Astyanax mexicanus: one gene and its partners. The main gene of each other region encodes a partner of the protein of the gene in region 3 in a complex. Links are inferred from orthologs where the notes say so. Each region holds a gene or a part of one and is shown on either strand. Other genes may lie near its edges. The genes, in order: mta1, sin3b and histone deacetylase 2.

The links.
Region 1: histone deacetylase 2 (region 3) and mta1 share a complex: the UniProt entries of both Homo sapiens proteins name them as parts of the nucleosome remodeling and deacetylase (NuRD) repressor complex. The link is inferred for Astyanax mexicanus from reciprocal best matches to the Homo sapiens genes HDAC2 and MTA1.
Region 2: the proteins of histone deacetylase 2 (region 3) and sin3b are in contact, whole or in part, in a cryo-EM structure (PDB 8BPB), measured with the Homo sapiens proteins. The link is inferred for Astyanax mexicanus from reciprocal best matches to the Homo sapiens genes HDAC2 and SIN3B. Residues at the interface, in NP_001518.3 of Homo sapiens: Lys9, Asp19, Gly21, Asn22, Tyr23, Tyr24, Gln27, Gly28, Pro30, Lys32, His34, Arg37, Tyr46, Gly47, Arg50, Lys51, Lys59, Thr66, Lys67, Tyr68, His69, Ser70, Asp71, Asp100, Asp105, Gly106, Glu109, His142, Lys144, Lys145; in NP_056075.1 of Homo sapiens: Ile397, Gly398, Ser399, Ser400, Tyr401, Pro411, Lys412, Cys413, Ser414, Gly415, Arg416, Thr417, Ile419, Cys420, Glu422, Val455, Leu456, Asn457, Trp460, Val461, Ser462, Phe463, Pro464, Ser465, Trp466, Ser467, Glu468, Asp469, Phe472, Lys476.

Annotation. Positions count from the first base shown.
Region 1 is NC_064421.1:24,341,379-24,345,132, forward strand, and holds the start of mta1 (metastasis-associated protein MTA1), read right to left. Parts: upstream 2,825-3,754; 5' UTR 2,467-2,824; coding exon 2,439-2,466; intron 1,800-2,438; exon of another isoform or gene 1,598-1,799; intron 1-1,597. UniProt on the Homo sapiens protein: Transcriptional coregulator which can act as both a transcriptional corepressor and coactivator. Acts as a component of the histone deacetylase NuRD complex which participates in the remodeling of chromatin.
Region 2 is NC_064419.1:9,138,735-9,142,488, forward strand, and holds the start of sin3b (paired amphipathic helix protein Sin3b), read right to left. Parts: upstream 2,688-3,754; 5' UTR 2,264-2,687; coding exon 2,138-2,263; intron 1-2,137.
Region 3 is NC_064408.1:38,907,289-38,911,042, reverse strand, and holds the start of histone deacetylase 2, read right to left. Parts: upstream 2,611-3,754; 5' UTR 2,468-2,610; coding exon 2,416-2,467; intron 1-2,415. UniProt on the Homo sapiens protein: Histone deacetylase that catalyzes the deacetylation of lysine residues on the N-terminal part of the core histones (H2A, H2B, H3 and H4).

The DNA of each region.
Region 1 (3,754 bases), on a different chromosome or scaffold from region 3:
AAATTCTGTACAGCCAAACACTGTTTAATTAGTCCCCATTTTATACATAAATATTTATATTAATTTTATCATATTGTCATAAATTTTCTTATTGCATGGACAACATACTTTAAGAAAATTCAGTTAGATTAGATGATGCGCCGCAAAAATACAATAAAATTCATCGTCATTCATGAAAGAGTATTTGAACAGCAGAATCTGATACTGATTTTTTTTTTATGTCAAAAGATGATAAATACTGTGTACTGTGAAAATGTTTTTATATAACGTATAATTGAGCATCATCTCCAATTCACTACATATGACAAAAAACACATACAAAGCTAGCTCACTATCAAAAACTTCAAGAGACAGAAACCGGACCACAATGAACTGTAAGAGGAAGACTCGTGCCATATTTGGCAGGGTAGGGGGTCTCCCCCAAGACTGAGGTGGAAAAAGACAGTCTTAACTGATGACATGTTCCACTACTCAACTGCTAAACTGTATCCCAATTTAACTTTAAAAAAGCTAAATTGGGAAGTTTACATTCTCAGAAAACTACCAACTTGTTTTTGACACGTAATTTAGTATAATAAATGGCTACAAAATATTACAGAGGGATTCGAAATTGACTTAATTTCTTCTGCTCACAACATCATTCTAGGCTTTAAAAAGTCTTCACTGAATTTACTTATGGTATTCATTACATCTGTCACCATAATTATATGTTCTTGACTTTATTAAGTTCTGCTGTTCTTGATACCAACCACTGTATTTACTCAATAAAAACAGGACTAAAACATATAGGGCAAACTTTTAAACTTGCGAATTGCTGGAAAACACACTTCTCTCCTAGACTATTATTCATTTTAAAAGTGTATGGTTCTCTAAAAGGGTGTTATTTTATGATTGTACCATTATATGCTGAATATATCAATGGTTGTTTTCTATAAAGACAATATATAATTTTTCACAATAATATCTGTGACAATTGTGCTGATCAACATCACCCTTTGGAGTGATGTGGGGAAAGAGCTCCATCTACCCACAGAGCGAGCAAGGAGAGCCCTGCTCTCTCAGGGCTCCTGTAGCTGATGGCAAGCTGCATGAACGGGATTTAAAACAGCGAGTATTTTAATGGTTACAGTTTATATGCACTACATATGCTGCACTTTAGTTTTGTGGTATATTTGTGTTAGTTCCATTACTTTACTTTTATTACACCTTTTTTTTTTCTTTTACAAAACCAGGCTCTGTTTTACGAATCAGACAATTGTTTATATATTTTTTGCTTAGACTAAATAAAACTTTAATATCTATTTTGTTGTAGTAGTAACTATGTTGCTAAAATTATTATTTAATAAAAATCAATGTTTTGTCATATCGCCAAGAATATCTTTATCGCAAAAATACACCGAAATATTGTGATATTATTTTAGTTATATAACGTTAACTGTTATCGCCCACCCCTGCTTCAAAGCAATTGAAAAAATTGAACTATTCAATACTTTTATTTTATAATTATATGTAACTTAACTAACGTACTACTTCACACAAGAAGGCTAGGTTAACTTAACCTGACCAGCGTTAGTTAACTAATTAAGGACGGACTCACGTTTCCACCACGGCTCACTTCTCTCTGTTTACCTCCTCGTTCAGGAACAGGTTAACAGCGGTAAAGTACTCCAGTTCGTAGCTTTTCTACTGTCTGATAGTTTTTTTTTTACTTCCATGCTCAACCAAACGTTCCCTAACGTTACTTCTTGTGGCTGAGAAGTAATTAACGTTAGTATTAACGTTAAGTAATTAGGCTAAGCTAGCTAACCCATAGCTAAGTTACGTATGTCTGGATAGTTAGCTGGTTAACTCACCCGTTACTTGGCAACTAAGCTATGAGCTAAGCTAGTCAGCTTTTTTTAAACATGCTACATGATATGTGAGGTTTCTTTAAAAACTTGAAAACTTAAGTAAAAAGCTTCAGTTCTGGGGGAATTATGAGCTTTGGCTGTTTGCTGGTGGGGTATAGGACTGCAGAGCTGCTAGCTAGGTTAGTTAGTTGGCGTTAATTAACTAGTAAACCTAGCTAAACTCACTGTAAATACTAAGTTACTAACCTATGTTTAGGTTAGCTAAGCTAGAATACTCCAGTTTTAAGAAAGTAAGTTAGCTAAACGACACATTTTGGAGGGGGTTTGAAAGCAGCTAGCGTTAGTTAGACTCTTCATCTTTATCCCGCTCCTCATCATCATCTTCATCCTCCTTTGGTCACAGAGCATGAGGCTCTCTCTACTCCAGCTTTAGGAAATAAAGAGGAAGGACACGGAGAGCTGCTCCAGCTCTGGGCTCTGAACTGTAACTAGCTCTATAACGCTGTATATACCCGAGGCCGCCGCTCAGGGGAGGGATAAACATACACCAACACAGAGACACAGACAGGCAGAAAACGTGCTCTCTACCTCCGACCCGGTACATGTTGGCTGCCATGACTGCCCCGCGTCCTGGTGGCTCCAGGTAGGGCTTCCTCACGCCGTCGCGAGCACTGCCTCCGCCGCTGAGTGTGTTGGAAAATGGTGGATTGATCAATACGAAGCGGAGCAGTCAGGGGATCTTAAAGAGACAGTGCGCCCATTTTCACTACTCTGCTTCACCGCGCTACTCGGAGACTCGCGCCGGGACAGAGCAGCTGAGGGACTCGGTAAGAGCGCGAAAACAAAGCGGGGCGGCCGGAGGGAGGGAGAAAGCGGGCTGGCGGTCAGGAGAGACTCGAGGGAGGAGAGAGGAGGAGAGGCGGAGGAGGTGGAGACCGCGAGCATCACCGTCCAGCTCAGTCTCCGCCTCCCTCGGAAATACCGAAACAATCGCTGTTGTACAACTTCAGACCCACTAGAGGCAAAATAACAAAGTAAACAACTGTTGCTTTCAGATTGGAACCCCCCCTCAGCTCTCCCTCCCGAGCCCTACAACACCCCACCATCTCCCTAACAGCCCTCCATCCCTCTCTCTCTTCAACACAAAAACGAAAACCTAACCTAGTTAACGCTAGCTGACTGTATTCTACAGAACAGTTCCAGTTCCAACGGTTACAGTGCCACTAATGTTGCCAGGTCCAACAAAAATATCCAGCCCAAAATCAGAAGCTTGAACTAGCCCAAAATATCTGTCTGTCACACGTTTGAAGCAAATGTCAGAACAACTATGAGTGTACGACTTTGTTTGATTTTTTTTACAAGGTGTTTATTATCAGGATTGCTATTTATCTTAAAGTCATTAATAATTTTGAAACATTAATGTTTTATTAGTTATCTTATAACAGTTTATATCAAAGTCCATAACATTTGATAGTAACATAGTTAGCAAAAATAATAATTTACTTACTTACTAATTTCTGTTCTTGCCCCTCCTGAACTTTCTTTTCTCTTCTTTAACATTTTTTTTTTCATCGCCTTGTGATTTCTGGTTACTCTGTGGTTTTTACGTCTGGTTACATTCTGGTTACTCTCTCTCTCCTGCTGTCCTCCCTTATGTCGTTATGTTCTCCTCATTCTTATGGTTGTTGTTAATCAAGGAAGATTGATTTTAGTGTCAACCTCTACATGTTTGCCCACCGTGTTGACGTTTTTGGCAGCCGCCACCACTGAATTTTCACCCGCGACTGGATTTTCAAACAAGCCCAATTTGGCGGGAAAACCGCAAACCTGGCAACTCTGTTGAGGTTTAAGGGTTGGCCTGTAGCTCACCTGATATCACATTTCCCTTTAGAAGCATTCTTCAG
Region 2 (3,754 bases), on a different chromosome or scaffold from region 3:
GAAAAAGTGTTTACAATGTATTTAATGAAAAATACATTTAGGTCAGTGTTATCCTCGGTATACTTATTATAACATGTTTTAATACAATAAAAAATGTATTATGATTCAATAAGATAAATTGTCATATTAATCAGCTCTACACAGAAAAGTAAAAAGATATGGACAGAGAAACAGTAAATCTTTAATCATATTGATATTTCATGTGGTAAAACCCATCTGCCAGACAGCTGATATACAGCTCTGAGAAGAAAATAAGAGACAACATATAAATAACGAGTTTCTTTGATTTTACCAAATTGAAAACCTCTGGAATAAAATCAAGAGGAAGATCACAAGCAATCAAATCAAGTTGAATTACTTGAATTTTTGTACCAGGAGTGGCAAAAGATTATCCAAAATCAGTGTGTAAGACTGATGGAGAACGTGCCAAGATGCATGAAAATTGTGATTAAAAACCAGGGTTATTCCACCAAATATTGATTTCTGAACTCATAAAACTTTCAGAATATGAACTTGTTTTCTTTGCACAATTTGAGGTCTAAAAGGCTCTGCACCTTTTTTTTCAGCCATTTCTCATTATCTGCAAGTAAATGCTCTAAATAATAATATTTGTGGGAGAAATGTTGTCAATAGTTTGTAGAATAAAACAACAATGGTCATTTTACTCAAACATATACCTATAAGTAGCAAAATCAGAGAAACATATTCAGAAACTAAAGTGGTCTCCTATTTTTTCCAGAGCTCTATAGACATATAAAAAAGATCAAAACCATAAGGTGCTTGCTTTGTTTGTATGTGTGTATGTATGTATGTATGTATACGTTTGTTTACTTGTTTGCAGCAGCTACAGCATTTATGCCTAACCTAACCAAAATAAGGGTAAATTGACATTAGAGAATAATAATTCAGCTCACAGCTCAACACCCTGAAAATTATGATGGAAAACAATACCACCGGTTCTAGCACCAAAGAACCTTTCTTATACAAGACAGCTTTTTCAGTTCTCATGTTGAGTTGAAAAGTTAAATGCACCAAAATATGGTGTATTGTGTTTGTACAAGGTGCTTCAAGCTAGGTTCAAGTTTCTTGTTAATTTCCTTGCAGCAGCTTTTTTATATTAGCACCATATATAAACTGTGGCACAAAATAGTCCTAATTTTAACATATCTCGGTTAGTCTAAACTAACGTTAAACAAGAATAAATCAGCTCACAAATCAAACACCCTGAGAAATCTGATGGATATATCAGGAAAACAATACCACCAGTTCTGGCACTGAAGAACCTTCATACGAGATAAACCCTTTCAGCTTCTTCAGTTCTCAGGGTCTCCAGCAACTTTATAACTCAAGTGTCAATTAAAACAAATCGTTACAGTGAATTTTGCATTAAATTCAACAGAATTTGGTTTTATTGTGCTTTTAGCAAGGCGCATCCCCACAAAAGCACTGCAACTCAGCAAGTGGCTAACCGGCTAACTCAACTGAGAAGGATCTGGAAGCTCTTTTTAAATGAGATTAAACTGTATTTAAGTTAAAGTAAAGGTTTTTCGGAAAGTCTTTTGGGTTTATAAGTGCTGTTTTTTGTTTTGGAAGCTGCCAAAGCAAACAGCATTAGCTTTGGGAAAGTAAGACAAAGAGAGGCAAGCTAATAAGAGGTTGCTAACCTAGGTTAGCTTTGCTAGCTAGGTTCGTTAGCGATAGCTATGCTATGCTAACGTTACAGCACTTAGATTACCCAGCTAAAAACATATACTATAACGAGGGGGTCGTTTTATATGGTACGAAATATAGCTACATTTTTTAATAGCTATGTTCAAAACTGGTCAATAGATTATATGTGTATATTATATACGCCTTAAGCAAATACGAATAAAAAAAGAAAGAAAAAAATCTAAAAGAAGCTGAAGTTGCGAGTTTGTACGTTCCACCTTAAATGTTGCCGCAGTTTTATTCTGGCGCCCCCCGGACGCCAGAATGTAACTGCTACTACACTTAAGGTGGAACGGGAAAAATCGCACAAGAAACTGAAGAATGGGCAAGAACTTCAGAGAAAGAAATAACACAGCACTACTCAAAACTGGTCGCGCCACTTTATATCGACTTACACTTACTTTCATTTACCCCCGTTTTTCCTTACCTTTAGTTTCTGGAAGTGCTGCTGCTGTTGTTGCTGCTGCTGCTGTTTCTGGGCGCTCAAAAAGGCCTTGTCCTGGTTTATTGGGTTGATCTGCTTGGTGCTGCTGTGAGCCTGGATTTTCGCCATCGTCCCCAACAGCTACACACACGAAGACACACGTTCTCCCTCCGTATCTGCCCACAAAACAAGCAGGGCAGGGGAAAAAAACAAGCAGGGAAGGGAAGCGCTCCAGACAGCGGAGCGCCCACGCCGCTCAGACCGCGCAGAGTGCCTCCAACCCCGGCCAGCAGCGGCAGAGCGGACCGCTGTGCTCAAACTGAAGAGAGGAACCACTACAGCGTTTAAAGCACGGCTTTACTAACCAGAAAAGGTCCAGAGAAAGCGGGGGAGAGCTGAAGAACTAAAAAAGCATAGAAGAGAAAGACTACTCCCGGATTTTCAGTTTGTAAATGTTATTTTTAAAAACTGTCTCCTGTCTCTTTAAATTCGGCGGCAGCGGAGCGAATGTGGAAGAACGCACCGAGCATGCGCCTACACGGTGGGGCGGGGCTTACAGACGTGCGGGGCGGGCGGTACCCGGATGAGTGAAGGTGTCGTTTCAAATGCTAATGCTATCCTCTCAGAAGTGTCAATAAATATTAGTGATCAATACACACTACAAAACACCACAGACTAATCAATAAAGTGTTTATGGCTGATATAACAGTGATGTATGACGGTTTATTAGTGACTAATATAAGCATATACATTGTCTTTGTGTGAAAGTGGAAAGGGAAATGGGTGGTCAAAATGTAAAAAGTTAACTGTTGCCATACATGGTGTATTCAAGTAGTGTTATTATCAGAATACTGTGCATTTTGCCCTTCAAAAACGTCTTTTTTTACTATTAGAAAACCTCATACTACACAGAAATCATATTTTCCAGCTTAATCACTTTAATTTTAGGATTATTATCTGAATATTTGACCTTAAAACTTTTCAAAAAGTTACTTTACATTTTTTATTCTTTTAACTAGGAGGAATCTTGTAGTCACGTTAGGGGTGGGCGATATGGCCCAAAAATACTACGATCACAATATTTCATACTCTTGGCGATATGACAAAACACTAAATAAAAAAAGAATATTTCAAGAATACATTACTGCAACAAAATAAAAATTAAATTTTGTTATTGCATACAGTATGATATGGCACATCCCTAACTGAGATATTAAAAATTACAGAAATTTATCAGATTTGTAACAGAAGTCAATAATAATCCAGAATGTCATGATACTAATAATGCACTCCAAATATATCCATATATGCAGCATTAAAGTACAATAAATGATACTGGACAGATATAATCTGTCTCTAGTAGAAATATAATGGCAAATGAGAACAGTGTGAATTTGTCTTTTGCTAAAAACAGCAGTAAAAAAGTGATTATTAGGGGTGGGTGATATTGCACGATATTTCAGGGTATAATATCATTCATGATATTCAAAAATGTTGGCACTATTAATGCTTACAATACTATATGGCACAACCAACATATTCTGTGAAGCATTTAGGCTGCATTCTGAGGCTAGTAACATTGATGAAATTATCCTGTGCTGTGCAACAGAGGTAACTTTT
Region 3 (3,754 bases):
TGGCCCGAGCTGATTTTATACTTTAAAATTAACTGGCAACATGGCCTACCGATCCATAATGCACAAAAAAATTGAATATAAAGCTGATGTTCTAGTGTGATTTTGAAGGACTTTTTAATCTTGGGCCAGAACAAATACACATGATCTGAAGAGTACTAGTCTTCTACTTTGAGGAAAACCTGGAATTGGCCTGGCCCAAGCTGATTTTATACTTTAAAATGAACTGGCAACATGGTATAACGAGCCATAATGCACAAAAAAATTGAATATAAAGCTGATGTTCTAGTGTGATTTTGAAGGACTTTTTAATCTTGGGCCAGAACAAATACACATGATCTGAAGAGAACTAGTCTTCTACCTTAAGGAAAACCTGGAATTAGCCTGGCCCGAGCTGATTTTATACTTTAAAATTAACTGGCAACATGGCCTACCGATCCATAATGCACAAAAAAATTGAATATAAAGCTGATGTTCTAGTGTGATTTTGAAGGACTTTTTAATCTTGGGCCAGACCAAATAAACATGATCTGAAGAGTACTAGTTTTCTACCTTAAGGAAAACCTGGAATTAGCCTGGCCCAAGCTGATTTTATACTTTAAAATGAACTGGCAACATGGAATACGGATCCATAATGCACAATTGTTTTTATGTAAAGCTGATGTTCTAGTGTGATTTTGAAGGACTTTTTCATCTTGGGCCAGAACAAATGCACATGATCTGAAGAGTACTAGTCTTCTACTTTAAGAAAAACCTGGAATTAGCCTGTCCCGAGCTGATTTTATACTTTAAAATGAACTGGCAACATGGTATAACGAGCCATTTTGCACAAAAAAGCCACTGTTCCAGTACAATTTTGAAGAATTTTTTAATCTTGAGCCAGAACAAATACACATGATCTGAAGAGAACTAGTCTTCTACTTTAAGGAAAACTTGGAATTAGCCTGGCCCGAGCTGATTTTATACTTTAAAATGAATTGGCAACATGACATGAAAGCCATTTTGCACAGAAATAATGAATATAAAGCATTGATTTTGAGAATACCAGAACACTTCATCTGATGTGTATTTGGTCTGAAAAAAAAGTCCAAAATCATACTGGAATATCAGCTTTAAATAATATTTTTTTTGTGCTGCCATGTTGCCAATTAATTGTGCAGTCTAAAATCAGCTCGGGCCAGGCTAATTCCAGGTTTTCCTTAAAGAAGAAGACTAGTACTCTTCAGATCATGTGTATTTGTTCTGGCCCAAGATTAAAAAGTCCTTCAAAATCACACTAGAACATCAGCTTTATATTCAATTTTTTTGTGCATTATGGATCGGTAGGCCACGTTGCCAGTTAATTTTAAAGTATAAAATCAGCTCGGGCCAGGCTAATTCCAGGTTTTCCTTAAAGAAGAAGACTAGTACTCTTCAGATCATGTGTATTTGTTCTGGCCCAACATGAAAAAGTTCTTCAAAATCACACTTGAACATCTGCCTCATATTTTTTGAGCGCAATGGCTTTTAAAATATAATTTTATTAAATATATATTTAATTATTTATTGTAATATATAATTATAAATTCAGTAATTAAAATAAATATTTTACAATATACAAAATTACATTTAATACGATATTGTATATTTACATTGTTAATAAACAGATGTACTGCTTTTCTTCATTCTATCTCCTTCAGTGTTGATCTGTGAGGTGTTTAATATAAACAGCGGGTGTTTGTGAACGCTCCCTTTAGTTCACGGTGGTTCAGTGAAGCGGCAGCTGCGAATATCAAACCAACTTCAGCCGGGGAATACGAGGCTGCGAATATCGAGCCAAACGAATCTGGAGCTGCGAATATCAAACCAACTTCAGCCTCGTTAGCTAGCGTTAGTAGTTACTACACGCATGTTGGCTTCGGATCTTTCCAGTCCACCTTAAATAGTGCACCACTTAACACTCTGTCGCCTCGGTCGCCCACAACATTAGTTAGTTAGCTAACTGACCGTAATTTAAGGTGGAACTGAAAATTAGTAAAAGGCTGTTCAATACGATACCAACTGCAACCTCGCAAATAAATAATAATACAGTGTGTGTGTGTGATGTGTATGTGTAACAGGTACATAGAGTGTGTGGGAGGGAGGGAAAGAGAGAGAGAGCTGCAGTCCCACAACGAGACACAAAAGCGCAGCGCCAGTTAGCATTAGCACTAGTGCTAATAGAACCCACATTCAGAATAGCTGAGGTTTAATCAGGATTTCTCACACCCGGTTATATTTACTGTCTCTGTTTATTCTTTCTGTCCCTGTACCCATTTAACGTTACTCCTTTCCCCCAGGCCCTCTATCCCTCTCTCTATCCCCCTCACTCTCTCTCTCGCTCGCTCTATCACTCTCTCTCTGGCGGGCAGGCCTGAGCAGCGCTCCGTTCCCTCTTACCGTCATAATAATAGCAGACTTTCTTCTTGGTGCCCTGCAGAGTGAACGCCATGCTCCACACACACGATCCCCGCGACCAGAGCGCGCTGATTAGATTAAATACAGATTAAAATGTAGCAGGAGCGGTGGAGAGAGACAGGTAACTACAGAGCTGATGAGGAGCACGGAGACGGAGGAGAAGGAGGAGGCGGGGCCTATTCTAATCGAGGGCGGGGCCTGCTTAGCACCAGCGCTCTCTGATAGGCTACAGGGTTACTCTGATAGGCTACAGTTAGCTGTTAGCTAGTTTGGCCTATATTTGAAGACACAGTGGTGCTTGAAAGTTACAATAGTGAACAATTTGAAATTGTCTATATTTCTGCATAAATGCGACCTGAAACATCGTCATAAAAGGTAGATAAGAGAACCCAGTTAAACAAATGACACAAAAAAAATTATACTTTGTCATTGAGGGCGTTTTCACTCCAGCACTATTTGGTTAGGTTAAAACAGACTCTGGTTCGTTTGTACTCTTAGTGCGGTTTGATTGAGCAGGTGTGAAAACAGCAGTCGCACCTGTACGGATCCAAATAAGCAGATAAAACCTACTATGAGGATCTGGTCTCAGTTCAGTCCCAAAAAAAGCTCTGGAGCGGTTTGCATCATGGTGAGAAAGTGATCTAGTCTTGATCCAACCCAGCCAAACTGCTGATAAGGCGCAGTTGAATCTGATATATTAGCCAGATAACACTAATTATTAGAGACACAATATTTATGCATAGATAGATAGATAGATAGATAGATAGATAGATAGATGTACATACAGTTAGATAGATAGATAGATATAGATAGATGTACATACAGTTATACACATAGTTGGATAGACAGATTATTACATTTATGTTATATTTATTATTTATATTTATTATTTATTTTTCATTATATACAATGTGCTGTCCACCTCGTCAAGCTATTAAAACAGAGACTGATTGAATTGTACTGTATTATGAGAGTGGTGCATTATAGTGATTAATTCAGTCAGAATTAATTATTAAGGAACACAAGAAGGGCATCATGTATAGTACACTTCATCATTAAACAATCACCAACATTAACTTTACATTTGATCAAATCCCCATTTTAGATCTCACAGCTCAGCTTATTAACAGTCAGGGGGGTTCAACATGTGTAGAATGCAGACTAACCTGTGTTACTTTTGTATATACTGTGTTTGTTTATATGCAAGACGAAAATCTTATTTACAGGCAAACATTAATGCATTTAGTAAAAAAATAGCTCTACATATTTCAAAGTTACAAAGTTATGTTTCATCTTAATTGCTTATAGTTGTAAGCAGGAC